Xenopus tropicalis: one gene and its partners. The protein of the gene in region 3 interacts with the protein of the main gene of each other region in a pairwise test. Links are inferred from orthologs where the notes say so. Each region holds a gene or a part of one and is shown on either strand. Other genes may lie near its edges.

Region 1 (10,974 bases), on a different chromosome or scaffold from region 3:
AAAGATACAGGTATGGGATCCCTTAAATGGAAACCCATTATCCATAAAGTTCCGAATTACGGAAAGGCCATCTCCCATAGACTCCATTATAAGCAAATAATTATAATTTTTAAAGGAGAAAGAAAGGTAAAAACTAAGTAAGCTTCATCAGAAAGGTCTATGTAAATACAGCCATAAGCACTCACAGAAACGCTGCACTGACTTCTCTGTGAAAAGATTTCTTGTGTCTGTAATTCATGCGCCAGAGACACGCAGCTCTCTGCTGTCTCCTCTCTCCTGCTCCCCCCTCCCTCAAGAATGCTAAGAACTCACTCCCCCCCTTAGGAATGTGGATCTCAGCCAATCAGCAAGAATCTGACTCATAGGGGCCCATTTACTTACTCACGAACGGGCCGAATGCGTCCGATTGCGTTTTTTTCGTAATGATCGGTATTTTGCGATTTTTTCGGAAAATTATCGTGACTTTTTCGTTACCAATACGATTTTTGCGGAAAAACGCGAGTTTTTCGTAGCCATTCCGAAAGTTGCGATTTTTTCGTAGCGTTAAAACTTGCACGAAAAGTTGCGCTTTTTTCGTAGCGTTAAAACTTAAAAGGCGCGACGTTTTGCGCAAGTTTTAACACTACGAAAAAATCGCAACTTTTTGCGCAAGTTTAAACGCTACGAAAAAATCGCAACTTTCGGAATGGCTACGAAAAACTCGCGTTTTTTCGCGCAAATCGTATTGGTAACAAAAAAGTCGCGATAATTTCCGAAAAGTCGTAAAGGCGCCGAAAAAAATCGCAAAAAATACGAAAAAGTCGCAAAATGTTCGTTTTCCAATCTGAATTTTTCCAATTCGGATTCGAATTCGTGGGTTAGTAAATCAGCCCCATAGTCTTACTAACTGAGCATGTTCACTTGGTCTGGGTGTCTGTGCAGGAGCGAGGCATTATGGGAACTTTGTTTACACAGCTCAGCGTTTTTTCTTCCTGTTTGGCTTCTGATCATCTGAACAGGTGAAATATGGGGAGACTTAAGGGCACTATTGAGACTACTGAAGTTATGCCTGCAGCTTGAGATTAACTCTTTATTAGCCTTTCCTTCTCCTTTAAAAATGATTTTCTTTTTATCTGTAATTATAAAACAGTACCTTGTACTTGATGCTAACTAAGATATAACTAATCCTTATTGGAGGCAAAACAATCTTATTGGGTTTACTTCATATTTAAATGATTTTCAACAAGTTATGGAGATCCAAATTATGGAAAGATCCCTTATTCGGAAAACCCCAGGTCCGGAGCATTCTGGATAACAGGTCCCATACCTGTACTGAATATTAAGAACAATAGGGCAAGCAAATGTATCAATGCTTAGCACAAAAAAACATATTTAAAAGGGGATGTCTATCTTTTCCCATAAAATGAATATTTAAAAAATGCATTTGTCACATAAAATCAAATAACTCAATTTCTGGGTTCAGAGCAGTGGGGAGAGAGACAGTGCTTGACAGAGAAGAGTCAAGGGTTATTGCACATGCCTAAAATGTCCTCACTGAGTTTCTGTGCACTCATCTGATTGGCTGAAAATGTATGCATATGACTAATCCAAGCATATAAAAAAGCTCTTAAGGGCTCTGGCACACGAGGCGATTTGTCGCCTGCGTTTTTTCCCCCTGGAGCTTTGGCGACAAGTCGCCACGACAATACCCACTAAGAGATTTCATGCGAGTTGAGCTCCAGGCGATCTGCTACCCATGGTACACTCAACAGTTAACCCCCCCTCATGTTTACTCAAGTCGCTCAGAAAAGGGTCTGTGTGCGATTTGAAACAGCAGGCGATTTGAAGTAGCCTCGTATGTTTTGACGCTGGCGATTTCCATTGATTTAGCATTGGCGTCTTGTCGCTCGTCTTGTCGCCAAATCGCTCTTTTAAAAATCGCTGGCGACAAATCTCCTCGTGTGCCAGAGCCCTTAAAGCTGCTGAATAGCAGTTACTTTGTTTATAGTTTATATAAACAAAGCTGGTTAATAGCCATGGAGTAGCTATTTAAACTGAAATAGGGCTAAATGGCACAGGTTACATAGCAGATAGCATAAGCTCTTAAAACACCATTGTATTCTATACAGCTTATCTTTTAGCAGTTATGTAATGTGTGCCTTTTCTCCAGCTGGAATGGCTGCCCCAATGGCTACACAGCAGTTTATTTATTTTATATAAACTATAGTAGTCTTTCAAAAGCAATAACACAATTTTTACCAGTGTAGGGGAGCAGTACTTTATATTTTAATTTGTTTAAAACTTCCCCTTTTAGTGTTACTGTTCCTTTAAACCCTCATTGTCCTCTTTGATTTCACTCTACACACTTCAGTGTGTGCATAGCGGAGGAGAGAGCTGATGACTGGCTCCTCTAGGGGTGTAGCTGGAACAGGATAATTAAGTAAGCTAATAGCATAATTTATATAAAGCAAAAAAACTATATGATCATATTGGCAAAAGTGTTTTGGAAAGGTCCTGCCATTAAGACTTTACAAAAGACGGCCTTCACTTTTAAAAGCACTAATGCAACAAATGATATTTTTCCAGTGTTGACCTTAAAAGCAGATAAAGAATTGGGATTTTACTGTGTACAGCAGCTCTTTTCATTCAATAAGCCACAATAAACCCTTCCACCACCCTGGTATTACACTATTAGGTATAAAAATAGCAACTGAATCTGCAAATAGATACCAAGTATAACAGAGATAGAACACAACATGAATGGAGTAACAGGTTGCTAACACTACATACACTATATTACAAATAAACATTCTTCTCACTGGAATACAGTAATAAAAGTTACATCAGACAAAAAAAAAAATCATGTATGTGATCACAAAAAAAAAAAATGCTTAAAGCCAAGTTTCCTAGAAACAGCCCATGTGGCCATTGTCACCCACAGGTAGCACTTCTAACTCACTGCATTGGAATAAGATGCTGGAAGTGGTGTCCATGTAGAATTGTACGTTATACAATAATCCTTCGCAGAGGAAGGATCCTGATTTCCAATTGCATGTAGAATTCCTTGGTTTGCATGTACCTAAAGAAAACAAACAAATTTGTCAGACCTGCCACAGAACAAACAGCCTAACACGTCTGTAAACTCGTGCTTTATGCTTGAGAGGTTTTTTTAAAGGGAAAATCATACCTATGATGGCACAGGCTGTTTTCTTTACTGATGTATTTCAGCTGGGTCAGAACGGCCCATGCCACCTCACACTGATCATAAAGGGAACCACCTAACATCACTAGTGGTGGTAACCTTTGAACACAAGGCCCCCATGTCAAAGGGAGGTGGCATTGCCGTTTCAGCTCTTAACCAACGGCTGAAGTGCAGAGAAATCACCCCATATCCAGCAGTCATATTGGTTTAACAGTAGTATCATATAAAGAGCAAAAATATAGAGAATGGTGATATTCTTCACCATCAATGAGCCAATGTGGTTCCCGATCCAACACTAAATTTTTTTAAGTAAAAAATCTATTCTACCCTGAACCAATAACTGCCCTATCCTGCACAGTGTTTATTATTTTAAATGCTTTTGTTAGAAAATACCTTCTAAATCTCTGCATCCGGTCACTTCAAACACGGCGATCTTTCCCCTGCACAATCCACTACACGACAATCAACATCTCCTCCTAGTCCGACTCCAAAACTGGAAGTCAATTGTTTGCCTGTACAGAAGGAAGGCTAGGAGGAGATGTCAATCATCGCATAGTGGATTGAGCAGGGGGAAGATCGCCGTATCGCCGTATTTGAAATGACAGGATGAAAAGTTTTAGAAGGTATTTTCTAATAAAGCATTCAAAATAATAAACGCTGTGCAGGATAGGGCAGTTATTGGTGCAGGGTAGAATAGATTTTTTAAATAGTATTACTTTTCCTTTAATCTATGGCTAAATATGTTTTCTTATGTATTCCAACCGTCTTATGAGCTAAGGGGACCCCTCACCAAAGGTTCAACTTGAACCAAAATAGTCCAACAAGCTCTACAATGTTTCATTAACAATTAATATTTCAGTCATTTGTTCTCTCAGTTAGAAAACCAAACTGTCTGTTTTTACTAGTATGCACAGATTAACTCTTTTCTGAACAGCTGAAAGCACTGAATTCACCATAAGCTTTTATTATCTGTTCTATTTTAAATCTCAAGGGAGATTAAAAAAAGATAAAATATGTAATGTTCTGTGCCAACGTCACATGTCTATAAACTGTGGCCAATAGGTTTATTAACCTATCTTCTGTTACAGTGCTGAAAGCTTTTTGTCATGAATATAAAGCTACATGGAACCAACCGTCAAAAATTAAACAATTCTGCAGCAAAGCAATAAGTAATTCCAGGTTTAACCACTAACTTTTACTGGCCGTTGTTAATAAACATACGGAGCAAAGGCTCATTTAAGATTGCAGGGCAGAGGGCACAGTGCAAAAAAACAGGTGTATCTTCACAAATTTTGTTAACTTCTAATTTATTTTGTCAAATTACATATTTAGTTCATTTTTTAAACTTTGTAATTGTGGCATGTGCAAAAGTTTGGACACCCTAGTAAAAGTGATCATACATGTTAAGATCTGCTTATTTGGCGGGATCACCTCCAACTTGTTTCTCCCTAAAGGTGGGCGATATCGGTGTAAACCAGGGATCCCCAACCTTTCTTACTTGTGAACCACAGTCAAATGTAAAAAGACTTGGAGAGCAACACAAGCAGCATAACAGTTCATGGAGGCGCCAATTAAGGGCTAAGATTGCCTATTAGGCAGCCTCTATGCACACTATCAGCTTACAGGGAGCTTTATTTGGTAATAAATCTTGTTTTTAATCAACCTAAAATTGCCACCAAGTCAGGAATTCAAAAATAACTACCTGCTTTGGGGGCACTGAGAGCAACATTCAAGGGGTTGGTGAGCAACATGTTGCCCCCAAACCACTGGTTGGGGATCAGTGAGCTAAACAATCAAATTACAACGGCGGGCATAGTTGTCATCAGAGGCAGCATACACGGGCAAATAAGCTGGTGTATGGCCACCTTTAGTCAGTATTTAGTAAGACAACTTTTAGCACAGACCACAGCTTGTAAAAGCTTTTTGAAAACATTTTTGCCCACTCTTTCTTGCAGATCCTTTCTAATTACAAGATTTTCTTGGGCCATCTTGCATGTTTAAGATCTAGTTACAGATTTGCCACAGAGAGCCATTCCAAAAACCTTCAGCTTGCTATTCTCCAAGCTCATGAGCCCTTATTAAGGTCTGTAACTGTCAACAATTAAGTATAGGGACCTTGCAAATGTTTTACCATTGGACAAGTGTTAGGGTGTCCAAACATTCTGCAAAAGCCACAATTACTATTTTATTTGTTCCTATGTTTTGAACTTTAAAAAACAATTTAAATTTTTTTAACACACTAAGCCACAGTACATCTAAGGGTAAGGACCCACGGAGTGGTTCAGATGCACGCAATAGATCTCTGCTATCGTGGGTGACTAACTGCTCCAAAATGGCTTTCCACTGGCAACAATAGGAGTCTCTGGCAGAAATCCCTTTGCATTGCTTCCGTGTTCCTAAGTCACACAAAGTTTCCTCCTGTGGCAACATTCTTGCTGGTGGAAGATCTATTGCGGGTGACTGAACCACTCCATGGGTCCTAACCTAAGGGTGAAGACACACGGAGCTACTAGAAGCACTAATTTGTCACAGCTACAGAAACAGACAATGCTGATCTTTTACTGACAATTGTCTCTATGTGTGTTGTAGCAGAAGCATTTCTCAGTATTGTCTATGGCAGGGCATTTTCTGCCATTTAGTAGCCATGACAAGTAGCTGCTACTAAGTAGCTCCAATCAAACAGCCATGATATAAAAAAAAAGATTACATGTGTCCATGTACTAGATACAATACAAGAAGGTAATGTAATAAAATCACTATTCAGCTGTTCGAAAACTAACATCTGCTCAGTTGCCCAGGGTTATGAGACCTAGGCAAACACTGCACTTTTAATTACATTGCTCTTACATACACCAAAAATTGTAGTTTACCAAGAGCTACATTTCCGATCCCCATGCCCTCTGCCAAGCAGCTGCCCCATCCTGTTACCTGTGCCCAGTGCAGCAGCAGCAGTAGAGTGAGGCCCAGCGGCACAGACGAGCCCATTCTCTCACAGCGCAGCTGTCAACTCAAACCAGGAACCGGGTCACGGATACATGTAAATAAGAAGCACAGTGCGTATCTCGGAAGGATGCTTCTACAAATAACAAGTGGCCTCTCAATGTTTTTCCAGCACTTTTCACCATGGACTCGGAGCAGGGCCGCACTGGGAATAGAAAAGAAGCCCTGGCAAAAAAAATCAAAACAGCCTGTATATAAACAAGCAGTGGTCTTCTACTCATATATATTGCCACACATATATTAGGTTAAAACTACAATATATTATGTTATAATATTTGCAAAGTTGCTATAAATAGGACATTCTATAACACACAAGTTAACAAACTTGCCACAAGTAACAGCTCTACCTCCCCCACCCCCAGAATTGTGCAGCCTCTATGTCACCCCTATACTGCAGCATTACATTAATGTTACACTATGTCACAGCTTCTGCCTTCCTGATAAAACCAGTGGTGGCCTTTCCTGCCTCCCCTTCTAAATTACAGTCAGACCTTGATTTTATATATCCCTTGTTTTACGTTTTCCCAGATTTCATTTTTTTTCTCCTGGTAAACGTAAACTAGGGAACTGTATGGGAAACGGTTCACTCGCCTCCCCATGGGGTCGGTCACGGCTAGCCCAACACCACGTACTCCCTCCCTACCAAAGAACTGAATATGGTACTTACCTGTGAGCCTTAGGATTGCTGCGGTTTCTTTCGTTTTCAGGCACAGGTGGGGTATAGTGCTGAGCAGGCCCAGACTGGCGAATGCCCGATGGGTTGCTCTATTAATGTTAATATGGGCCGCTCAGTTGCGTCTTAAAATCCAATTCGATACAGCGCTGCACTTGCCTGTCCCTTTAGCTCTGGGGTCACACAGCCCACCCGAACTAGCACTTCCGGGGCCGCCTTATTAGTTTCTCTGTGTCAATGTCGCCGCATTCTACAGACAATTCTCTCGGTCTCTGCCCCTCCCCTCTCTCCCTCACTGGTGCAACGCAGCCCGCCCCTCCCTCACTGGTGCAACGCAGCCCGCCCCTCCCTCACTGGTGTGATGCAGCCCGCCCCTCCCTCACTGCTCTACAGGATGTTAAAGGACCAGTAACATCAAATGATGTTAATACTTAATTACCCTCAAAACTGCTATTGCTTCGCACTGATGATATAAATCTCCTAGCCTTTTATCAGTGTCTGCAGTATAAATTTATGCTCACATAACCTTACCCCCAAAGCTGTAAGAAGAAATAGAAACATGTATTTAAACTGCAGATGCTGATAAAAAGCTGCCTTAGAGGCATTTTACAAGTAAAATTCAAGGATTAAAAAAAAAATCAACTAGGATGTAAGCCTTAATTACTACTATAGAAGTTTTGGGGGTAATTAAGTGTAAGGGCTCTGGCACACGGGGAAATTAGTCGCCCGCGAGAAAACTCCCTGTTCGCGGGCGACTAATCTCCCCATGTGCCAGAGCCCTTAAAGGACATGTCAACCCCCCAACCAAAAATGTTATCAGTGAAAAGCCTCACAGCATTCTCTAAATACCTGCCACTCCAGTCCCTCAAAAGCAAACAGTGAAGCTGCAGCGATCCCTTGATATTTCTCCCTCTGCACAGCTCTGTAACTCCCTCTCCCCCCTCCCTTCAGAATCTCCTTGTCTGCCTGGCCTGGTGCACATGCACACTTCCAGTACATTTTAATGAGCATGCGCATTTAAGATGATTGTGTCCTCTAAACAGCATTTTGTTAATAAAATTTTTTTTTTCTTTTTTTTAAATCCTTCAAGAGGTCAGGCAGGAGGGGCCATGCACGCATGGAACCTATACGCGCATGGAACATATACACACGCTCGGTGACGTCACCCGGTAATATGGCCGCTGGGTGACACGGGAATCGGAAAAGAATGCGGCGGTGCAGGCTGTAGGAGGACATTAAGGGAGCGGCACTTATGCGGTTGAAGTGGGGGTAAGGCTCCCTATCCAGTAAAACTGAAATTAAAATTAGGGTTGGCATCTCCTTTAAGGTGGCGATACACTTTCAGATTTTAGTCTCCTTCCAAGTAACGTTCGATCATACGTTTAAATGCAGTGATCTAAAACTAACGTTCAGACTGAAATTGTAGGATAAAGCCATAAAAATAACAAAACGGAGGATGAAATAGTTGTCAGACACTGGACGTAGGAAAGTGACTGAGAGGAAACTTCACTTTCACTCTACTGCGCATGCGCCGGAGTCACAGCAAAACGAAGGCGGAAGAAGGAAGCGCATCGCCCCAGGTGCCCCGGGCTGGTGCTGTTTTCTCCTAACAGGGGCACCAGCCCGGGGTACGAGGTAAGCGATTCAAGATATTGCCTTTTCTTCCCCTTTAAGTCTTCACCTTGTAATGCGTTGCCACAGGCAGACAATGAGCTATGAAAAGAGGTGCATTCTACCACTTACTGGCAACATCTGGGTAGCAACAAGTGATGCCTGACAGGAGAAATTATATGCGCACTGATTGTACAAAACAAAATCACTTCCTGGTCTCTGCAAAGGCACTTTGCATGCACAGCAATGTGCTGGAATTTGTGTTTATTAATGTGGTTTGTGAGTGTGCTGCAACTAGAATGAACAATGCATAGTCTGAAGAACCTTATGTGAGTTATAAAGCAGTTTGATTCACACCCGAGTTTAGGCAGAAGAAGAACTAACTGCAAGCTAATTTGAAAGTTTTGTTCTTTCTTTATTTAGGGACATTTCATATGGGCTACTATTAATTTACTTTATAAAACCAAGCTCTTTATAAACCAGCCCAAATTGCAATTTGTCTAAATCCATGTTTATGAGAAGATATGGGGCTCTAAATAGGGTTGAACCAGACAGTCTGGTTTTACATGTTATGCTTTTCACACAAACTGGTTAGTCACACTTGCCTTTAATACAGCACACAGCATGATTGGTATGCAGTTAAATGTCCTGCAAGACAAACATCCTGTCACATGCTGTCTACAAGTGCGCCTAACCAGCTTTTGTGTGTGACACTATTTTAGTCATATGGTACCCCCTCTCTGTATTACCTTCAGATAGATCACCTCAAACTTGGTAACATCTCCTGGTTAAGGATGTATTTCATGAGATTCTTTCTCTCAGGAGGACCCTCACTGTATTAAGGTAGGAAAGGTCTGCCTCACTGAACTGCATACACACACAGAGGAGATTTCTGAGCCTAAAGGTGGCCACTTCCTCCACTGACGTTCAGGGCTGAATTGTCAGATATGGAGGTAGGAACAATAGAAATTATACCTCAACCTGCCAATTCAGCCCTAAATATAGATTTTGCTGGGGGACCTTCAGTGGCGACAGACTATTGTGATATATAAAACCCTTGCATAAGCTGTAGGGACTCTCAAATGGTGGCAGGGTTCCAGATCTGAAATATATTTATATAGGCAGATGATGCACAGACCTGCCTTGTTTTCACCTCCCCTGTCACTTTAGACCTCCTGCGATATCGTTCGACTCGCCGACATACCATACACGCACCGAATATCGTACGAAACGAGGTTTCGTACGATATTATCAGTGCGTGTATGGCCACCATAACACTCTCTTAAAGGAGAAGGCAAGGCAAAGTCAATTGGGTGTGCCAAAATGTTAGGCACCCCCAAGTGACTTAAATCACCTACCTTTTACCCCAGGCTGGTGCCCCTGTTCGGAGAGAACAGCACCAGCCCAGGGTAGCTGCAGCGCTTCCTCCTTCCTGCTTCGCTCGCGCGCACATGCACAGTAGAGTGAAAAAACCGAACTTTAACAGAGAAGTCGGCTTTTCACTCTACTGCGTATGCGCCTGTAGTCCTTGCAAAACGAAGCCGGAAGGCGGAAGCGCTCGCTACAGGTACCCCGGGCTGGTGCTGTTCTCTCCTAACAGGGGCACCAGCCCAGGGGTACCCTGGTAAGGTAAGTGATTAAAGTCACTTGGGGGTGCCTAACATTTTGGCACCCCCAAGTGACTTAGCCTTTCCTTCTCCTTTAAAGCTCCTCAAAAATCACATTCTAAAGGAAGCACTTAGCTAGTCTTCTGCAACAGTAACAAACCCTTGACCAATACAAAAGGGTGGTCCCTTTTTGCTTCTGTCTGTCTCCTCTTCCTGATAGAGTGTAAAGGCCATACACACTAAAATTTCACGACCTCACCAAGCGAGCGGATCTTCTCCCGATATCCCCACCTACGGGTGGGTGATATCGGGCTAATTCAGAAATTTGGCCCTGGGGCCAAACAATCACATTAGAACGACAGATATAGGCGCAGTCTGTTTGGGGACTGCATCAATGAGCCGATACTGTCCCCGATCCGGCTAAAATTTTAAACCTGCAAGCCTGTCGTTTGTGCGCATACATGGGCCGATAAGCTGCCGAGTCGGTCTAAGGGACCGATATCGGCAGCTAGAATCGGCCCATGTATGGCCCCCTTAAGTTCTTCACAAAAATCTGGAAGAGCACTTGGAAAGTGCTTCAAGGAACAAAACATGTCATATAAATGGAAACAATAGAAAGGAACCTCCAAATAAAGAGTTTAGGGAAACAATTCATCCCCACTTAATTTTTGTTCTTCCTTTTTGAACATGTTTTTTATGACATATCTTGAATATCTTTCACCTTTAAGGAAAATATATACACATAATGCATATTTAAAATAAGGTACAGCAGCACCCCCTGGTGGACTGATTAATTTTCAAGAAAATAAAAATAGGACAATATGATTCCGGAAACAGACCCTCTACCAGTTTGGGTACCTACAGAACAGGCAAAAAAAAGTCCCGAACACAGGTGATCTACA
Region 2 (10,907 bases), on a different chromosome or scaffold from region 3:
AACCATTGCTTTATGGGCTCCGCCACCCAAACTGTGCACAACATGATATACAGTATATTGAATATACCCATAATCCAACACTGGGACCCCCTGGTTAATCATCTGGGAGGGGGGATACAGGGATAAGGTAGGTCCCAGGTACAAATCAGCCACAGAATGACCCAATGTCCCTTCCCGGCCCTTAGCCTCGGCCAATGATCTAAGACAAACAGGCAGACAGCTTGCAGGTACAGCGCTAATCTGTGGGATCCTCCCATTACCAACCTATATTATCCCTATAGTATCCTAACAATGATAACGTTCTATGCACATAAGATAATGTTTATAGAGGGGTTAATATGTGCTCATTAGCGTGCAATTAATTACACAGGTAGGAGAGAGAGGATCCCCCCACCCCCCATGTGTACCAAACTAATAATTATTATATTGCTACCATAGGGCCATGTCCCGTAAGAATAAATACAGAACCTAGAGGGAGGGGGCAGAGGAAGGAGAATATAATTATGGGATTATCTATGGCTCATATCATTGTGGGTGTAAGGGTGCTACGTCTGATGGGTCAGGGCGCTCATTCAGGCAGTTTGTTTGCTGTGTAGCAGCCCTGGATCCACTGAGACCATGTCCTATCATGTCAAACCCCGCCCACAATCCACCAAGCCCCTCCCACAATCCACCCAAGCCCCTCCCACTCCCTGCAAGCCCCATTCATGTTTCTCTGGACACCCCAAGGTTACCCCTTCTCAGTGCTTTTCATCTTCTAATGCTAAGGGGGCCCAGCCTGAAGGCCAGTTAGGGGGGGATTTGGGGTGAGTGCTTATTTGTGCCCTGGGTACCCCTGGAACTATAGCGGGGTGACTGTTACCCCAATGTTTCTATATATCTGTAACCTTGTTATGGGCTAAGGGGGCCCAGCCTGAAGGCCAGTTAGGGGGGGATTTGGGGTGAGTGCTTATTTGTGCCCTGGGTACCCCTGGAACTATAGCGGGGTGACTGTTACCCCAATGTGTCTATATATCTGTAACCTTGTTATGGGCTAAGGGGGCCCAGCCTGAAGGCCAGTTAGGGGGGGATTTGGGGTGAGTGCTTATTTGTGCCCTGGGTACCCCTTGAACTATAGCGGGGTGACTGTTACCCCAATGTTTCTATATATCTGTAACCTTGTTATGGGCTAAGGGGGCCCAGCCTGAAGGCCAGTTAGGGGGGGATTTGGGGTGAGTGCTTATTTGTGCCCTGGGTACCCCTGGAACTATAGCGGGGTGACTGTTACCCCAATGTTTCTATATATCTGTAACCTTGTTATGGGCTAAGGGGGCCCAGCCTGAAGGCCAGTTAGGGGGGATTTGGGGTGCGTGCTTATTTGTGCCCTGGGTACCCCTGGAACTATAGCGGGGTGACTGTTACCCCAATGTTTCTATATATCTGTAACCTTGTTATGGGCTAAGGGGGCCCAGCCTGAAGGCCAGTTAGGGGGGGATTTGGGGTGAGTGCTTATTTGTGCCCTGGGTACCCCTGGAACTATAGCAGGGTGACTGTTACCCCAATGTTGCTATATATCTGTAACCTTGTTATGGGCTAAGGGGGCCCAGCCTGAAGGCCAGTTAGGGGGGATTTGGGGTGAGTGCTTATTTGTGCCCTGGGTACCCCTGGAACTATAGCAGGGTGACTGTTACCCCAATGTTTCTATATATCTGTAACCTTGTTATGGGCTAAGGGGGCCCAGCCTGAAGGCCAGTTAGGGGGGGATTTGGGGTGAGTGCTTATTTGTGCCCTGGGTACCCCTGGAACTATAGCAGGGTGACTGTTACCCCAATGTTGCTATATATCTGTAACCTTGTTATGGGCTAAGGGGGCCCAGCCTGAAGGCCAGTTAGGGGGGATTTGGGGTGAGTGCTTATTTGTGCCCTGGAACTATAGCGGGGTGACTGTTACCCCAATGTTTCTATATATCTGTAACCTTGTTATGGGCTAAGGGGGCCCAGCCTGAAGGCCAGTTAGGGGGGGATTTGGGGTGAGTGCTTATTTGTGCCCTGGGTACCCCTGGAACTATAGCTTTAGCTTTCCCCATACATGAGGTGCCACCCTCTTACTCCCCCCTCACTGTCAGGCACAGCTGGCGGCTGCGGCACTAATCTCTGGGTGGCATCTCCTGTTACACAGCTGTGTGTGTTTGTGAGTCACAGGGGATTGGCCAGTGTGTGTCCCAGGCTTGCCCCATGCTGTGTACATTTGTGGTTATTTATATTAGCTACACACCACATTGACCAGATCTGCATTATGCACAGATCTCCCCTTGCTCTTTTATCAGGGTGTCTCATGTGATTTGGGGTTCTGCAGACATGCAGAAATGAATGCATTACTGTGTGTGTGGGGTCAGCAAAGTGCAGCAAGATGGAGACAGTAGGACAAGATGGAGACAGTAGGGCAAGATGGAGACAGTAGGACAAGATGGAGACAGTAGGGCAAGATGGAGACAGTAGGGCAAGATGGAGACAGTAGGACAAGATGGAGACAGTAGGACAAGATGGAGACAGTAGGACAAGATGGAGACAGTAGGACAAGATGGAGACAGTAGGGCAAGATGGAGACAGTAGGGCAAGATGGAGACAGTAGGACAAGATGGAGACAGTAGGACAAGATGGAGACAGTAGGACAAGATGGAGACAGTAGGGCAAGATGGAGACAGTAGGACAAGATGGAGACAGTAGGACAAGATGGAGACAGTAGGACAAGATGGAGACAGTAGGGTAAGATGGAGACAGTAGGACAAGATGGAGACAGTAGGACAAGATGGAGACAGTAGGACAAGATGGAGACAGTAGGGCAAGATGGAGACAGTAGGACAAGATGGAGACAGTAGGGCAAGATGGAGACAGTAGGGCAAGATGGAGACAGTAGGACAAGATGGAGACAGTAGGACAAGATGGAGACAGTAGGGTAAGATGGAGACAGTAGGGCAAGATGGAGACAGTAGGACAAGATGGAGACAGTAGGACAAGATGGAGACAGTAGGGTAAGATGGAGACAGTAGGGCAAGATGGAGACAGTAGGACAAGATGGAGACAGTAGGACAAGATGGAGACAGTAGGGTAAGATGGAGACAGTAGGGCAAGATGGAGACAGTAGGACAAGATGGAGACAGTAGGACAAGATGGAGACAGTAGGGTAAGATGGAGACAGTAGGGCAAGATGGAGACAGTAGGGCAAGATGGAGACAGTAGGGTAAGATGGAGACAGTAGAGCAAGATGGAGACAGTAGGGCAAGATGGAGACAGTAGGGCAAGATGGAGACAGTAGGGCAAGATGGAGATTGTATATAAAATTATTGGCCAGGGAACAGTCTATTATATCAATGGAAGTTTCAACTTTTTATAACAGTTGGTGCTGTTAAGGTGTGGGATTCCACAGCTGCCTGGCGTTAATGATTCTATTCTGGTGCTTGGTCCCCAAGGGGTTAAGTTGGGTTTTGGTTTTCAGTGGGACCTGTCTTTAAACGATATGTTAACCCCTAACAAGCCCCATTCAGATCCTCATTGCAGAATGGCATTGACTTTGTTGCCCCCGCTCACAGTAGGCCCAGCCCCCAGCAAAGACACAGGCCCTTATTACCCTACACTCTCTAATGCCTCTCTGGTGATAACTCAGCAGCACTGTCTCGCTTTACGGCAGGGATATATTCTCATATAGTCCCATAGAGATGTATGGGGAATGCTGTGCCGGTGACACGAGTGACATTAGCTCTGCAAGAGGGGGAGGCGACCACTAGAGGATTCTGGTAGTTCAGCAATGTTTGTAGGCTACAAATTCACTAGTTCCATACATTGCTAATGGCAGCCCAGCACTTCAACCCACTGCTACCCCTACATGACTCCCTTGGGCTGTGCTCTTGCCAGCAGAGCTGATACTCATTTCTATATTAAGGCTAAGCAAACAGAGATAAGGCCAGGGATTGCCCCTGACCCCATTTGCTCTGCCTTATCTGCTCCTGCCCCACAGCTGTGCTCCTAGTATTTGCTCAGAAGGAGGATTCTGGGCAATAAACCAGCCCCCTGCCATATTAATAGGGGTGCGAGTCGCTCAGTCGTCCCAGAGGCCAGAACTTCTAACAGGTAACACTGAAGCGCCACCTGGGGGTCAGGGTGGGACACTGCACCGGGGGAGACAGTTTCCTTTGGGGCTGGGTCCATTGAATGTGGGTATTTGGTTCAATTCTGCTGGGGTTTGTTCTGACCCATTACCTCTGTGGGTTCCCATATGGCTTGTAATGCTCTGTGTATATACAGTAGGATAAAGCGAGGTACATGGCTGGGGGTAATGCTTCTCTTTCTCTCCCCCCAGAATGCTGCTGTGGGTCCTACTCAGTGTGTGCTGCCTGGTTGCAGGTGAGACCCCCCCCCCCCCAGATCATATAAGGGGAGCCCCAGAGATATTATAGGCTATATAGAGCAATGTATAATGCAGGGCGGGGGGACAATGCCAGTTAAAAGAAACAATCGGGAATGGAAATGTGTAATAATAATAATAATAGTAATTACTGTATGTGCTTAGACGTTTCCTTTATTGAGCAAAAAAAAAGTGGAGGAGTTCATTCTTATTGCATTAATATAATAGCTTTTATAGTCATTGGCTGCAGTACCGTGTCTCACCTGTCTGGGTCAAGGACGGTTTTCCCCATAGGTTGCAGTAGAACAGCGCCACCATCTCATACATAGAGAGGGCAGAGGGTTAATCAGTAGGGGGCGCTGTACACAGGGGTACATACCATGTAGGGGACGCTGTGCCCTTTTGTACTGTGTGTGGCGCTCATGGGTCTGTGCTCCCCCAGCTCAGCAGCGCAGCTCGTCTTACTCTGGAGAATATGGCGGCGGTGGCGGCAAGAGGTTCTCCCACTCAGGGAACCAGCTGAACGGGCCACTCACAGCTATTCGCATACGGGTGAACCGCAACTACATTGTGGGGTAAGTCATACAGATACCGTCTGCTTCTGTGCCTCACTACTTTGTCTGTGCCATGTCTATACTGCTGCCATCTTGTCTGTGCCATGTCTATACTGCCGCCATCTTGTCTGTGCCATGTCTATACTGCTGCCATCTTGTCTGTGCCATGTCTATACTGCCGCCATCTTGTCTATGCCATGTCTATACTGCTGCCATCTTGTCTGTGCCATGTCTATACTGCCGCCATCTTGTCTGTGCCATGTCTATACTGCTGCCATCTTGTCTGTGCCATGTCTATAGTGCCGCCATCTTGTCTGTGCCATGTCTATACTGCCGCCATCTTGTCTGTGCCATGTCTATACTGCCGCCATCTTGTCTGTGCCATGTCTATACTGCCGCCATCTTGTCTGTGCCATGTCTATACTGCTGCCATCTTGTCTGTGCCATGTCTATACTACCGCCATCTTGTCTGTGCCATGTTCATACTGCTGCCATCTTGTCTGTGCCATGTCTATACTGCTGCCATCTTGTCTGTGCCATGTCTATACTGCCGCCATCTTGTCTGTGCCATGTCCTTACTGCTGCCATCTTGTCTGTGCCATGTCTATACTGCCGCCATCTTGTCTGTGCCATGTCTATACTGCTGCCATCTTGTCTGTGCCATGTCTATACTACTGCCATCTTGTCTGTGCCATGTCTATACTGCTGCCATCTTGTCTGTGCCATGTCTATACTGCCGCCATCTTGTCTGTGCCATGTCTATACTGCCGCCATCTTGTCTGTGCCATGTCTATACTGCCGCCATCTTGTCTGTGCCATGTCTATACTGCCGCCATCTTGTCTGTGCCATGTCTATACTGCCGCCATCTTGTCTGTGCCATGTCTATACTGCTGCCATCTTGTCTGTGCCATGTCTATACTACTGCCATCTTGTCTGTGCCATGTTCATACTGCTGCCATCTTGTCTGTGCCATGTCTATACTGCTGCCATCTTGTCTGTGCCATGTCTATACTGCTGCCATCTTGTCTGTGCCATGTCTATACTGCCGCCATCTTGTCTATGGCATCCAATGGCGCTGAGCCCTGACCCTATGCCAATGTTGGCTTGCAGGCTACAGGCGCGCTATGGCACGGCATGGAGTGACTATAAAGGGGGCAGCCTGGGAGATTTAGAGGAAGTTTTCTTGCACCCCGGGGAGCACATAATCCAGGTCTCGGGCAAGTATTCCGTCTACATGCGCCAGCTGGTGTTTGTCACAAACAAGGGTCGCTACTTCAGGTTTGGGAAGGACTACGGAACCAGTTTCAACGCGGCGCCCCTCTTCCCCAACACCGTGCTGCGCTTCTTCAGCGGGAGCTCCGGGTCCGTCATCGACGCCATTGGCTTCCACTGGGACTACTCCTCCAGCGGCTGCACCCACTGCAACAAGTGATCCCGCCGAGCCCACCCCCTGCCTGCAGGACTGGCATTCCCTGTGTAATTCATTTATATATGATTATATATTCCCTGCGCTTCTGTCAGCGCCCCCTGCTGTACATCACACACATTGCAGAGTCTCCCCTGAGATACATTCCTGCCCCCCAGCATCCGCCTCCGATTGCCTTATCCTGCATCTCAATGTAACTCACCCAAATGCTTGCAATTAAATCTTTATCCCGAGTGTTGTGTTGCTTCTACTAAATGGGATATTTGGGAGGAAAGGTCACATTTTTATTTTAACATTTGGTTATATATGGAATAATTTCTTATATATTGGATAAAGGAAAACCCCCTAACCCTGTAGGCAATTATGAATAATATCCGGTGCTGGTTTCCCTTTGGGCTAAACATTAACCCTATCTGTAACAATGGCCCCTTTATTGGAGCTCCCTATAGATCCTCTCAGGTCCCTGTCTGGGTTTCACATGAGGGGTGGGCGTGTCCTAACGGTCCCTGCCAGAAGCACAGTAGGAGGGGGAGAGCCAATCACAGCCCTGCAGTCACACAAGCACAGACAGGCTTCAGTTCCCTATCAGGTCAGCCTAGCTGCTGATTGGTTCCTATCCTACAGTGCCGCCGGCCCCCCTGCACAGCCTGGAAAAGGAGGCAGCAGGAAGTGGAACAGATGGGCGGGGCTAGTGGGGTTTCGGGAGAAATTTTCAATAAATCAGCCTGAAACACTACTTTTTAAAGCCCATTCCTTCTATATTTAGATGAGTACAATTCATTGGCACAATATTAATTTTTAGTCAATATGTCCCCTTACAGCTGCACAATGCCCTCCCACCTGTATCAGGTGTAGCAATTTCTCCACAAGGTGGCAGTGTTGCCATGGTGACTGGAGACAAAGTCACTATCACAGAGGTAAGCCCTTTACAGACTGTGGATGGAAGTGCGTCACATGGCCACAAGGTGGCAGCACCTCCCTCTATGGGAATTTCTCTCCCACAGCAGTAGAATTTGCAGTTATGGCATGAACTCCTACCGTACCAGCTGGTTGGATGTTTAGTGTTTCTGTTGCCTTTTAGTCCTCCATCTTTTTTCCATTTTCCATCTTTTATCCAGTTGGGACAGGTCTCTCCTGCCTACAGCCGCTGCCCCTGGTCTAATAGATACAAACCCAGCGGATAATTATACCCAGACCCCGGTGACACCCAGCTGATATTGGGCTCCCCAAAGGCTGCAGTGATAGGAGCCACAGTCGTTACGAAACCCTTGTAATTAACTTGCCCTACTGTCTCCATCTTGTCCTACTGTCTCCATCTTGTCCTACTGTCTCCATCTTGTCCTACTGTCTCCATCTTGCCCTACTGTCTCCATCTTGCCCTACTGTCTCCATCTTGCCCTACTGTCTCCATCTTGCCCTACTGTCTCCATCTTGCCCTACTGTCCCCATCTTGTCCTACTGTCTCCATCTTGCCCTACTGTCTCCATCTTGCCCTACTGTCTCCATCTTGCCCTACTGTCCCCATCTTGCCCTACTGTCTCCATCTTGTCCTACTGTCTCCATCTTGCCCTACTGTCTCCATCTTGCCCTACTGTCTCCATCTTGTCCTACTGTCTCCATCTTGCCCTACTGTCTCCATCTTGCCCTACTGTCTCCATCTTGTCCTACTGTCTCCATCTTGCCCTACTGTCCCCATCTTGCCCTACTGTCTCCATCTTGTCCTACTGTCTCCATCTTGCCCTACTGCCTCCATCTTGTCCTACTGTCTCCATCTTGTCCTACTGTCTCCATCTTGCCCTACTGTCTCCATCTTGCCCTACTGTCTCCATCTTGTCCTACTGCCTCCATCTTGTCCTACTGTCTCCATCTTGTCCTACTGTCTCCATCTTGCCCTACTGTCTCCATCTTGCCCTACTGTCTCCATCTTGCCCTACTGTCTCCATCTTGCCCTACTGTCTCCATCTTGCCCTACTGTTTCCATCTTGCCCTACTGTCCCCATCTTGCCCTACTGTCTCCATCTTGTCCTACTGTCTCCATCTTGTCCTACTGTCTCCATCTTGCCCTACTGTCTCCATCTTGCCCTACTGTCTCCATGTTGTCCTACTGTCTCCATCTTGTCCTACTATCTCCATCTTGCCCTACTGTCTCCATCTTGTCCTACTGTCTCCATCTTGCCCTACTGTCTCCATCTTGCCCTACTGTCTCCATCTTGCCCTACTGTACCTGCTTTCACCCTGCCTACGTACAACTGCTGCTCTACAGGGCACCACTATGTGCTGGGCACCAGGCAGTTGCTGAACCCCCCATAGAACACTATAGATATATCCGGGGGGGCACTGCCTTGCCCATTGCCCTATTTCCCCTTATCCATCTCTGCAGACTGAATGACTTTGGGAAAAACAGGATTTATAAGTAACTCAGCTTGGCACAAACTGCCACATTGGGAAGCCCTGCTGGAAGCTGCTCTGAGATTTCTTACCTGGGAAACAGCTGGTGCCATACAGGTGGGCAGGATAATGTGCCATACAGGTGTGCCCCCCCCCCCCCCCCCCCCCAGGGCAGAGCAGATTAACATCAGCTCCATTATTTATAGGCATAACTGTATCTTGTAGAGTGAGATCTGTATATCCAACCACATCCAACCGTATCCAACCACATTCAACCACAGGATAATGGGCAGGATAATGTGAGAGAGAGACAGGGGCTTGGGGGGGACACTATATTATTTACTGGGGGTGAAACTCGAAGGCCCAGAAACTATGATCTGCCCCAATTCCATTATATCCCTTTTGCTATACCCTATTAATTACCCCTCTCCTTCTTTGTCTCTGCATCTCTTCTTTCAAACCTCTTTGTCTCTCTCTCTCTTCCTCTTCTAGATGTCTCTTTCTCCCACCAGCATTCCCCATCTCTTCCTCCCATCCATCCTCCTCCTCCTCTTCTTCATCCCAGCTCCTCATGTTCTCTGTCTCTCCCACCAGCATTTCCCATCTCTTCCTCCCATCCATCCTCCTCCTCCTCTTCTTCATCCCAGCTCCTTATGTTCTCTGTCTCTCCCACCAGCATTCCCCATCTCTTCCTCCCATCCATCCTCCTCCTCCTCTTCTTCATCCCAGCTCCTCATGTTCTCTGTCTCTCCCACCAGCATTCCCCATCTCTTCCTCCCATCCATCCTCCTCCTCCTCTTCTTCATCCCAGCTCCTCATGTTCTCTGTCTCTCCCACCAGCATTCCCCATCTCTTCCTCCCATCCATCCTCCTCCTCCTCTTCTTCATCCCAGCTCCTTATGTTCTCTGTCTCTCCCACCAGCATTCCCCATCTCTTCCTCCCATCCATCCTCCTCCTCCTCTTCTTCATCCCAGCTCCTCATGTTCTCTGTCTCTCCCACCAGCATTCCCCATCTCTTCCTCCCATCCATCCTCCTCCTCCTCTTCTTCATCTTGACTCCTCATGTTCTCTGTCTCTCCCACCAGCATTCCCCATCTCTTCCTCCCATCCATCCTCCTCCTCCTCTTCTTCATCCCAGCTCCTCATGTTCTCTGTCTCTCCCACCAGCATTCCCCATCTCTTCCTCCCATCCATCCTCCTCCTCCTCTTCTTCATCTTGACTCCTCATGTTCTCTGTCTCTCCCACCAGCATTCCCCATCTCTTCCTCCCATCCATCCTCCTCCTCCTCTTCTTCATCTTGACTCCTCATGTTCTCTGTCTCTCCCACCAGCATTCCCCATCTCTTCCTCCCATCCATCCTCCTCCTCCTCTTCTTCATCTTGACTCCTCATGTTCTCTGTCTCTCCCACCAGCATTCCCCATCTCTTCCTCCCATCCATCCTCCTCCTCCTCTTCTTCATCCTGACTCCTCGTGTTCTCTGTCTTTCCCACCAGCATTCCCCATCTCTTCCTCCCATCCATCCTCCTCCTCCTCTTCTTCATCTTGACTCCTCATGTTCTCTGTCTCTCCCACCAGCATTCCCCATCTCTTCCTCCCATCCATCCTCCTCCTCCTCTTCTTCATCCCGACTCCTCATGTTCTCTGTCTCTCCCACCAGCATTCCCCATCTCTTCCTCCCATCCATCCTCCTCCTCCTCTTCTTCATCCCAGCTCCTCATGTTCTCTGTCTCTCCCACCAGCATTCCCCATCTCTTCCTCCCATCCATCCTCCTCCTCCTCTTCTTCATCCTGACTCCTCGTGTTCTCTGTCTTTCCCACCAGCATTCCCCATCTCTTCCTCCCATCCATCCTCCTCCTCCTCTTCTTCATCTTGACTCCTCATGTTCTCTGTCTCTCCCACCAGCATTCCCCATCTCTTCCTCCCATCCATCCTCCTCCTCCTCTTCTTCATCCCAGCTCCTCATGTTCTCTGTCTCTCCCACCAGCATTCCCCATCTCTTCCTCCCATCCATCCTCCTCCTCCTCTTCTTCATCTTGACTCCTCATGTTCTCTGTCTCTCCCACCAGCATTCCCCATCTCTTCCTCCCATCCATCCTCCTCCTCCTCTTCTTCATCTTGACTCCTCATGTTCTCTGTCTCTCCCACCAGCATTCC
Region 3 (10,974 bases):
TTTGGAACCCCCCAGTGATTTAGACTTTCCTTCTCCTTTAATATGCTAATACATGGCTGAAATGGTATCAGTTCAATTCAGTTGGTGTAGTAGAAAATCCGAGTAGCCTCATCCTAAACCCAAATCTTCAGTTGTACCCCACACATATTGGCTGTCATGTTCACTGGCAAAACAGATTTCAGGCAAACCTTAAAGGAAAACTATACCCCCAGAATTAATACTTAACTAACTATAAACCAGCACAAGTTTACATTATGTTATCTATTAAAGAACTCGCCATACTGGAATATATATATCAGTAAATATTACCCTTTTACATCCTTTCCCTTGATCCACTATTTAGTGATGGTCCGTGTGCCCCCTCAGAGATCACATGACCAGAACTAATGCAGCTCTAACTGTAACAGGAAGAAGTGTGGCTGATGGGGCCTACCATGTATGTGTGCCTTGGTTTGTTTGTGTGCACTGTGAATCCTATGATTCCAGGAGGTGGCCCTTAATTTTTAAAATGACAATTTTCTATTTAGCAGTACCCAATAGCCTATAGTACTAAAAAAGTATATTTTCATGAAAATGGTTTATTTAGATGAAGCAGGGTTTTACACATGAGCTTGTTTATGCATTATATTTTTATAGAGACCTACATTGTTTGGGGATAAAGTTTTTGTTTAAAATAATAATGCCCCAAGTCTATTATAAAGAGCCTATTTACTAAATGTGTGGTTAGAAAAAAGCTGTGTACTGAATCTCACTGTCTACACTTCCTATAGCTGTACAATTTAAATCTGAAAAATGTAAAGACTTAATGTAATACAACTTACAGTTGCTGAACTTGGGGGTTATTCATAAGATTTGACGCCTACAGTGAAAAGACATAATAGTGAAAATGCTGTAAGTTCTACATGCACAAAGGCTTTTAGACTTATAGCAGACAGATGGAGAGAGAAAAGAAAATCTGCACTGTACACAATTGTTCTTGGTGACACTGGACTTGATGATTTAGAACAGTGCTGTCCAACTGGCGGCCCGCGGGCCGCATGCGGCCCGTGACCCCCCTCTGTGTGGCCCCCCACCTGTCTGGCTGCTTTGATGGCTTACTCTTGTGTAAACTTTAAATGGTATCAGTACTGAGATTAGCTGGCCCCCTGCATGGTTCTCACCTCAGATTCAGGCTGTAATCCCCCTGTATTGTTTAAACATGTAATCCCCTGAGTTGTTCACACCTTTTAATCTCTGCATTGTTCCCCCTGCAGTGTTGACACCTCAGGCTCAGGCTGTAATCACCCCCATTGTTCCCCTGTTCACACCTCAGGAGCAGTAGAAACCCACAAATAATCCCTGCACACTACAAAAAGAACATATACTGAGCTGGTACTGCAAATAAAAAATTTTAATATATAGTTATTGTGCAGACTGTAGGAGCAGTGCCAGCATTGTGTCACTGTAGGCTGCCTGTGTGTGCCATACACACAGGCAGCATAAGGCAAGCAGAGTATGGCACACACAGGCAGAGTAGGGCAGGCAGAGTATGGCACACACAGGCCAAGTTTGGCACAAACCAGCCAAGAATGGCACACACAGTGAAAGTATGGCACGCAGGCAGGGTAGGGCAGGCAGAGTATGGCAGGTTTTTGCTGTACTACAACCATTAATATGGGTATGGTCATGTGATAACATGGGTGTGGTTTCAAGTGGGTGCGGTTTCAAAAAGGGGAGTGGTCAAAACTGGCTTCCATTATCGGCCCTCCACCACGTAGGCCGGAAAAATTCCGGCCCTCGGTACAACAGAAGTTGGACAGCACTGATTTAGAACAATAAGTATTCTATAAATGTTAGTACACCATCTTTGTGTATTGCTCAATTTAGATGGTGCTGGTTTTTGCACAATAAGACTACTAGTCAATTAAAGTAAAATGACGGTGAACCAATATATTCAAGCATCTCAAGCATTTTTTTGTACAAAAATTAATTAAATTAATAATAAATATATAAAACATCTATATAATGACAATTTTAGCTCCATATTATGCCCCTATTCTCAAATTAAGAGAAGAAAATACAATCTTGATAAAAACACTAAAGAGGATACTTACCATGCTCATAAAGCCTGGGTTATTGAGCAAGCCAGCCAAATCAAAACCTCCAGGAGCAGCCATCTAGATGAAATTAAAGATCCTGTTAGATTACTTATAAAAACAGATCTCCCCACCACAGGATAAACAAAGAATACTCACTGGGCTGGGCAGCTCTTTCATTTTCTGTTCTGCAATCTTTAGGTTTGATTTGTAGGTTTCATTGTCTGGATCCAGTATCAGGGCTTGTTTGTAAAAACCTACAGCTTCTGCATGTTTATTCAAGCTTGAAAGTGCCAGTCTAAAAATATTAAAAAAGAATGGTTTAAAAACATTTCTTCCATAATTGTAAGGTAAAGTAACTTAAACAGGAACATACCCCATTCTGCCATAAGCTTTGCTGTAGTTAGGGTCAATTGTAATTGCCTCTTCACAGTCCCTCACAGCTCCAGCATAGTTGCCCAGTTTGCTGTAAGCTGCAGCCCTGTGTAAAAAGACACGCAATATAGTGATTAATAATGCCTTGTTTTGCAACTGTTGCAGATACATGACATGACAAATGAAACCAGAAGCTTTTATGTAAAAGTTGTGTGCAAAAATATGTTACTAATGTTACTAAAGACAAAAACAGGCACAAATTACTGAACAGAACAGTACATTTTAATATATATATATATATATATATGTATGAAATTTCTAAATTAAATATTAAAGTGTTATGGACAGCCACTTGAACATTTTTTTTACACCTGCTGTTGTGTTTTAATTTGTATCAGCTTTAAATTCCTTAGAACCTAAATCTGCAAAGTTTTTTCGCTTCATAATTATGGTAGCATGAGACCCATGGAGCAGCCATGTTTGTTCCCCTCTTCCGGGTTTTAATTGAAATGCCTCCCAAGTGAATAAATATGCCCAGTCACAAACCTGCAATGCCCCTTCTGCTTTCAGCGGTGTGTGACAAACTCAGCTCCGTTGTCTATGTGTAATGGTGGGGGAGGGAGTGCCCTTAGAAGCAGACAGGCAGGCACGGGAAAGGTTAAGCTTGCCTGCTATTTAATTCTTCGTGGGAAGAGCAGAGATATATACACACACACATATTTCTTGTATGTAGATACATACCTGTTGCAGTAGTACACAGCATTTGTTGGGTTCAGTTCAAGAGCTTTTGAGTAGTAGGAAATAGCACTTTCAAAATTTTCTAATTTCATTTGCTCATTGCCTAAGAAAAACAAGATTCTCTGCTCATCTAATGGTACATACACCAAAAACTACCTCTGGCCACAATAATTAAAACACAGATACAGGTTTAAGAAAAGTAATAACATGACAGTAATTCTTTCTCTTTCTATTAATTGATATCAAAATTGCCTTGAGTCTGCAAACTCAGCTTCAAAGTTTTTGAAAAACAGATTTCAATACAGGATTCTGCTCGAGAAGCTCTATTAACTGATGAGTTTTGAAAAAGAACATGTTTTCCCATGACAGTATTCCTTTAAAAAGCAGCTGGAGGTCAAGGTGGAGCAAAAGGAGAAAACAAAGTGTAGAAGTAGGGAGTTTGAAGTGGAAGGGCACAAATACATACAAGGACAAATATGTAAGGGAATTATATTAAATGGACAAAATCAGTGGCAAATGGCAAAGAAATCTGGATTAAGGGTGAAAGGTGAAATGAGGGTGATATAAAGAAAAATATAGGAAAAAAGTTAAGATGTGAATTTAGAGAAGTGGAGATTATATAAACGCCTTTAAATCAAATATCCTTATACTGCCATACTGTCTAACTATGCTACCACAAGTATTTTCTTGTCCCAAAATGTACTCCTTAATGCCATTTTTTTTTTACCAATATACCATGGCTTCTCAATTAATGCAATTGAATATTCTGCATAACCTCACAGTCATGAACAATTAATACAAGGGACAATTTTAAAGGGCATGTCGACCCCAAAAATAACTTTTTGCATAAGAAAAGAAAACATAATTCTAAGCAATTTTCCAATATGAAAAATAGTTAAAAATTTGTAGCGCTTTAAAAGTTATTTGTAAATGTAATTGCTATTGAAAGCAGCATTTGCTGAACTCCTGGTTGTTACTTTCTAATCAGTGTTGCAACTGTCTCCTCCAGCAAGTCAAGTCTGTCAATCTGCTGCCTTGTGTTACATTGTTTCAACAGTCAGAGTCACCAGGGTAGAGAATAGAAAAGGACAGGCAAACACTGCTTTTTAATAGCAATTATAAATACAAATTACTCAAAAATCATTACAAATTTGTAATAAATGTATATTGCAAAGCTGCTTAGAATCTTGTTTTCTTTTATTAGGCAAAAATTATATTTTGCGTTGCCTTGTCCTTTAAGAGATCATGCAACATGTCAAGTGTCCAACCTTCTGTCTTCAATCTTTCAGCTTCTGCTACATCCTCATCACAAGGGGAGGCCAGGCCAGAATTAACTTGCGGAGAGTCCTGAATTTGGGAGGAGAGAAGAAGAATGCTTTAATTAACAGCGCATTAAGTTACCATTTTCCCAAAACTATGGTCTAGACAGCAAACCAATCTTTCTTCTTTGCTAGTTTTAAGTTTCAGTTTACAAAACGGTAAGAAAGCTTAGAATGTAGAGCTACAAAGTCTTATAGTAAAAGCTGTGATTAAAGGAGAAGGAAAGGCTAAATCACGGAGGGGTGCCAAATGTTAGCCCCCCCCCACCAGTGATTGTAATCTCTTACCTGATACCTGTGCCCGGTGCTCCTGTTAGGATGAAATTGCACTGGCCCAGGGTATATGCAAGCTAGCTTTCCTCTTCCTCCTGTCTTCTTTCTTTATAATCCCAGGACAGACACATGCGCAGTTGAGCGGAAAAGCTGGCTTTTCTCTCTACTGAGCATGTGAAGAAGGATCACTAGCTCACATACACACCAGCCATGCAGTTTTCTCCTAAGAGGAGCACTGGTTGGGGGTTTTAGGCAAGCAATTACAATGATTGGGGATGCCTAAGACTTTGGCCCCAGTAACTGTAACTTTCCTACTCCTTTATGTTATCAAGTTTGTAAGAAAGATGAAATATGGTATGTAGACTTTAAAAAGTTTAGAATTTCGCAATTCATTTTTTTCCAAAACAATGCCATTTCATGTCAGTCAATAACTAATTACAAGGATTACCTGACATGTGGCTTCTGTAAATATCTCTTGGAGACTCCTTGGTACAGCTAAGTTACTGTCTTCAATGGAAACCTCAAAGGCTGTCTCCAGGCACTGAATAGCAACTGTAAAATTCAAATTACATAATGCTTCCATCTAGTAATTATACACAAATATATTTAAAGTAATCCAATAGTTCCTGCATTCAAGCATCAGAGAAAGACCAGAAGACTTCCCTGGGATGGAACACTTAATTCATTCAATGCAGGCTTGCATTGAAAACATTTGTGGACTAACATTCACAATATTAATTTACAAACTTGTACATTTTCATTTTTTACAGTTATTAAATGAATGAATCAGGGTGTAATTGAGACTGATCAACAGAAACACTTCCCCACCAGAGGTGCAAGCTAATACAACAACCAGACAGCAGTTTGGAAGTCACAATGGATGATTAAAAGAAGATGAACAGAAAAAAAGATAATCAAACTAACAATAAATCTGAACTCTCACATTCATTCAATTTTACTCGCCCAGGTCAATGATCTCCAACAACCAGAGAGCATTTTCAGTTGCAGGCTGAAAATTGTTACATTAATAATTTAAAAAAACAAAACATTCATAACACGTTATACACTACATAAAAAATCTTAACTTACTCTCAACATCCTGATGGGCTATTTGGTAGCCCCAAATGGACTGCTAGCCTGCAGGAGGCTCTGCTTGGAGTAAATCTGTGTCTGGCTTTCAAACCTGCCTCCAAGCCAGAAATTTTAAAATGGGCACCTATTTTGAGGCCGGTGGAAGCAACATCAAAAGGGGTGGTAAGCAACATGTTGCTTGCGAGCCACTGGTTGGGGATTACTGCCCGTATGCATGGTAAGAAGCATTTAGATATTAGAATGCATTTAAAAGTACTGCTCTCCATCCTCTGGACTACTGCCTGTTAAACTTGCACTTCAAGTATCTGGCAGTAGTTCAGTAGCCCCAGGTGGGTGCAGGCTGAATATCATAAGTTTTATGAAAAAGCAAGGAAAAGAAAAAACTATTTTGTCTCATAAGAATAGTTCCCCCATCAAATAAACAGAAAGATAGAATATGAAGTAACAACCAGACCTTCCAGGCTCTCCTGTGCATCTGAGGAAAGCCCACCATTGCGTAACTGGTCATGTAAATGCCGAATAATGGAGAAAGCTAAGCGTTTTTTGTCAGCCATTGGATTTGTGAACACTTCAAGTGACAAGGTCCGACTCTGCAAATAAACTGGCATTAAAACATAAACAATGTCAGTGAATATGAATTCATATCTGATAAAAAAAAAAATAGATATATTTTTCCAGGTACCATTCAGAATCACCAGTCTTTGCCATTTTATCATTAAGCAAATATTCACAAGTACATTTATACAAATGATTAACAATGCACCATTCTCTGCAGGCATATCCAATAATGTTCGTCATTTTTAGCTCCCCTTGTTCAACAAATACTGTTGTTTAGAGCGGCCACTGGATATGCCACAGGTCTCAAAGGAAAAAGAAAACAGTGTTTATGTACATATGGTCACCCACAACCCATATATCTAGGGCCACACTTATACACATTTTCAATATTTCCACCCAGTTAACAGGGTTTGTATGACATACACACACTGTATTATCTTCCAAAGGTAGACTTCAACATAAGAGCTGCAGCATCTGCTAAAATACCTAGTATTTTTATCACTACGGCATAGCACTTTCAGAAACACCACAGGTCCCTTACAAGACAGGGCATATTTGCCCCTGGGCGTAACTCCACGGAAACCAATCAGATTTTTTCTTTCCCAACCTTCAGCCAGCTGAAAACAGCTAATCACTGATTCGTTGGCAAGGGTTACTGCCAAGGTGCAATTTTGCCCAGTGTTGATAAATGAGCCCAGTGTTGATAAATGAGCCCCAATGACCTTTCCATTGCATGGATGATTAATCAGCTGAAGAATTTTAGGGAAAGCCCAGTTTAAGGGCTGTGGCACATGAGGAGATTTGTTGCCAGCGATTTTTAAAAGAGCGATTTGGCGACAAGACGAGCGACAAGATATAAATCAATGGAAATCGCCAGCGTCAGCTTCAAATCGCCTGCTGTTTAAAATCGCACACAGACCCTTTTCTGAGCGACTTGAGTAAACATGAGGGGGGGTTGACTGTTGAGTGTACCATGGGTAGCAGATCGCCTGGAGCTCAACTCGCATGAAATCTCTTTGTGGGTATTGTCGTGGCGACTTGTCGCCAAAGCACCAGGGGGAAAAAACGCAAATCTCCTCGTGTGCCAGAGCCCTAAAGGCAGTAGCGGTCAGAAATGTGTCAAATGGATGGTACTGTGTCAAATGGATGGTACAGACGTCAACAATGCTGTTATCAGCACATACAGGATCCTGTGGTTCAGTAATGGCTGAGCGGATGCAGACAGGACACCCAGACCTAGGCAAAGTCACCTCCCACACGTCAGAAGCCCCAGCAGTATTAGTACACGTTCGTGTAATTAAACTGAAAAAAGCTCCGGGCCGCCATTGGCACCAATATATTAGTTAAATATATCTCTGAGTCTTTCCATTCCGCTCCCCTGTATCAACATTCTCTATCACCAGCGTGTTCAACAGAACTTCCTGGTCTGTTATATGTCGGTTCCATCATATTACCACAAAATAGTAACACCTATATTAACCTTACCATGCACAAAGGCACCCCCCCCAAAAATCTCTCTGACCCAGTCTTACCAGACACCACTACTCACATGCGAAAGCCCGGAACCGGATTCGGAATCACCTGTCAGCTGTCATACAGGAAGTGGCGTCATTAGTCGGATTCGCGAATGTGTCTCAGAGTCTCTGGACTGCTGCGTTTTTGTTTGTACTATGGTGGTTTCGGGTCAGAGACAATTGTCCATGCTCCTGGAGCCAGGTAGCTAACGTCTGGAAGTATATCGGTATGCACAGGGAACACCGACATTTAATGGTAACATTAATATGAGTTTTGAATAATATAAGAGTATTGGCGCAGTGCATGCCTGGGTAATTATACCAATAAATAATATTACAAGGCTATAATACTTAATGGCTTTCTAACGAAAATATGTGCTACATTGCAGTCGACCAGCTCTAGTTAATTTTCAGAACCCTTGTTGTCATTCAAAACATAGAGGCAAACTAGCCTGTGTTTAGCCTGCTTTTATGTTCTTATTTCCTCTCTCCCATGCCCCCAACAGGGTGTTTGATTATCGTATGTGGACTTAATGGATAACATCTTTGGCCAGAGGGGAAAATAACTTAATGGCCAGATTGGGACATTAATTGACCAGTTGAATTTCACATTCAGTGGGTACAGGATATAGGCAGGTAAAGAGGGTACATTTATTAAGCTTAAAGTGGAATTATCACAAATATTTAAGTTCAATATAAGCTTCAGCATACTAAAACATGATTTTTTCTAAATTTTTTCTAAAATTCTGCCCATTTCTGAAATAATCAAGTTGTTTTTCGCTCTCCTGCTTCGCAGCATCTGTCTCTCTTCTTCCTCTCTCCAAGCAAGAGGTGGGAGCCTGATTTTAAATATCAGATCCAATATATCTCTAGAGTGGTGGCAGTTTCCTTTGCCTAGAAGATGCATTAGAGCTCAATCTTTTAAAACCACCACAGATAGGATTTGTGCCAAAGTTAGCAATTTTGTTTGTGCTAGAATCAGTTATTTGAGTAAGCTCTAAAGGTGGCCATACAGGCACCGATAATATCGTACGAAACCTCGTTTCGTACGATATTCGGTGCGTGTATGGTATGTCGGCGAGTCGACCGATATCGCAGGAAGCTGCTGATATCGGCCGACTCGCCGATCGGACCAGTTGGAAAATTTTGATCGGGCGCCATAGAAGGCGCCTGATCAAAATCTCCTTTCAGCGCTGAATCGGCAGAAGGAGGTAGAAATCCTATTGTTTCTACCTCCTTACCTGCCGATTCAGCCCTGAATGGTGTGTGGCACATCTGACGATGTTTCAAACATCGTCAGATCGCCACGTGTATGGCCAGCATTATACATCTGCTAGAAAAGGGGAACCTGCAAAAGATATATTTTATCTAACTGCTAATGAAAATCTGACACCCAACTCCTGCATGAAGAGAAAATGAAAGACAATGAAGATAAACTTGGCTATTTCAGAAACTGTTCTGAATCTTTAATTGATTATATGTAGGAACTGTATTATTTCAGTATTGACGCTTATATTGAATTTTAATTTCGTTATAGTTCCCCTTAAAATGATTGTAGTGTTTTGGCTACAAAGGATGCAGTAGGTGTAGCATTTGCACTCTGGATCCTTGTGCCTTTAATTAACAGTGCCTACTTCAGCATTATTTCACACAAGTGCTTTGTACTGTACGATTTTCAAGTGTTTGTGTGTTGCTTATATTTGTTTACTTTTAAAAGGAGATATCAAAGAGCAGGCACAAATTGGGAGTCTTAAAGGAGAAGGAAAGGCTAAGTCACTTGGGGGTGCCAAAATGTTAGGCACCCCCAAGTGACTTAGAAAGCCTACCTTGTACCCCGGGCTGGTGCCCCTGTACGGAGGGAACAGCACCAGCCCGGGGTAGCTGCCGGCGCTTCCTCCTTCCTCCTCGCATGCGCCGGCCGGCGGATTTCGCCGGCAGTGCGCAAAGGAAGGAGGAAGCGGTGTCTACAGGTGCCCCGGGCTGGTGCTGTTCCCTCCGTACAGGGGCACCAGCCCGGGGTACAAGGTAGGCGCTCTAAGTCACTTGGGGGGGTGCCTAACATTTTGGCACCCCCAAGTGACTTAGCCTTTCCTTCTCCTTTAAGCTGGCCACACACGTGGCGATTTTCGATCTTTCGTGCGACCATTGACCATCGGTTCCAACCCTCCACTGACATTCAGGGCTGAATCGTCAGATATGGAGGTAGAAACAATAGGATTTCTACCTCCTTCTGTCAATTCAGCCCTGAAGGCAGATTTTGCTCAGGCGCCTTCTATGGCGCCCGATCAAAATCTTTTAACCCGCCCGATCAAGTCGACTGATATCCGCAGCCTTCTCCGATATCGGTCGCCTCGCCAAGTTGCCATACAGCCAGCTTTTGCAAGCAGAGATCAGGATCTGTGCCACTATTTTCAGTTACTAATGAGTAAATGTTGCCTTTGATTGTATATTATTCTATTAATTGTAATTAGTATATTAATTGTGCCATATTGTTAAACTAATACTGTTAACCTGAGGGTTAAAATCACAGTCATCACTGCGAAGAGTCCTATTCTCTGAGGGATAGAAAAGATTAATGGTTATAGCCGAGATCAATACAAATGAATAGCTTTTGGTTTGGTACTCCGGGAGCACAACAGATTGAAGAATTACTTAAAACCTTGGGGACAGGGGTTACAGTAGACAAAGCCCTGAGTGAAACTGTTGGCACACACCACGTGGCTCAGACTAATAACCAGTTCCAATTTTTTGTGAAGAGGTTATAACACGGAAACTACAAAATTCCTTGTTACTGTGTTAAAACATCTAGTTGCATAAATAAGTTTGTACTATATTTGCTTCAGTCTTCATTTAAATGTCTGTTGAATTTTAAAGGAGAAGGAAAGGTAAAAACTAAGTAAGCTTTATCAGAAAGAAAATACATCCATAAACACTTACAGAACTGCTGCTCTGAGCCCTTAGTGAAAACAAACACCACATTTCCTGCTATTCTCAGGGTCGGACTGGGCCGCTGGGACACCGGGAAAAATC

What was found.
Region 1: the proteins of sgta (region 3) and sppl2a interact in binary tests that used the Homo sapiens proteins (3 or more experiments, as listed by UniProt). The two-hybrid records come from large-scale screens. The link is inferred for Xenopus tropicalis from reciprocal best matches to the Homo sapiens genes SGTA and SPPL2A.
Region 2: the proteins of sgta (region 3) and zymogen granule membrane protein 16-like interact in binary tests that used the Homo sapiens proteins (3 or more experiments, as listed by UniProt). The two-hybrid records come from large-scale screens. The link is inferred for Xenopus tropicalis from reciprocal best matches to the Homo sapiens genes SGTA and ZG16.

Annotation. Positions count from the first base shown.
Region 1 is NC_030679.2:104,718,396-104,729,369, reverse strand, and holds the start of sppl2a (signal peptide peptidase-like 2A precursor), read right to left. Parts: upstream 6,730-10,974; 5' UTR 6,596-6,729; intron 6,347-6,595; 5' UTR 6,167-6,346; coding exon 6,110-6,166; intron 3,059-6,109; coding exon 2,939-3,058; intron 1-2,938. UniProt on the Homo sapiens protein: Intramembrane-cleaving aspartic protease (I-CLiP) that cleaves type II membrane signal peptides in the hydrophobic plane of the membrane. Functions in FASLG, ITM2B and TNF processing.
Region 2 is NC_030685.2:5,090,122-5,101,028, forward strand, and holds zymogen granule membrane protein 16-like, read left to right. Parts: upstream 1-4,075; 5' UTR 4,076-4,106; intron 4,107-4,335; 5' UTR 4,336-4,336; coding exon 4,337-4,379; intron 4,380-4,822; coding exon 4,823-4,955; intron 4,956-6,045; coding exon 6,046-6,367; 3' UTR 6,368-6,595; downstream 6,596-10,907. UniProt on the Homo sapiens protein: May play a role in protein trafficking. May act as a linker molecule between the submembranous matrix on the luminal side of zymogen granule membrane (ZGM) and aggregated secretory proteins during granule formation in the TGN.
Region 3 is NC_030677.2:99,255,619-99,266,592, reverse strand, and holds the start of sgta (small glutamine-rich tetratricopeptide repeat-containing protein alpha), read right to left. Parts: upstream 6,471-10,974; 5' UTR 6,427-6,470; coding exon 6,327-6,426; intron 5,333-6,326; coding exon 5,229-5,332; intron 4,536-5,228; coding exon 4,457-4,535; intron 3,292-4,456; coding exon 3,192-3,291; intron 2,557-3,191; coding exon 2,452-2,556; intron 2,374-2,451; coding exon 2,235-2,373; intron 2,157-2,234; coding exon 2,094-2,156; intron 860-2,093; coding exon 822-859; intron 1-821. UniProt on the Homo sapiens protein: Co-chaperone that binds misfolded and hydrophobic patches-containing client proteins in the cytosol. Mediates their targeting to the endoplasmic reticulum but also regulates their sorting to the proteasome when targeting fails.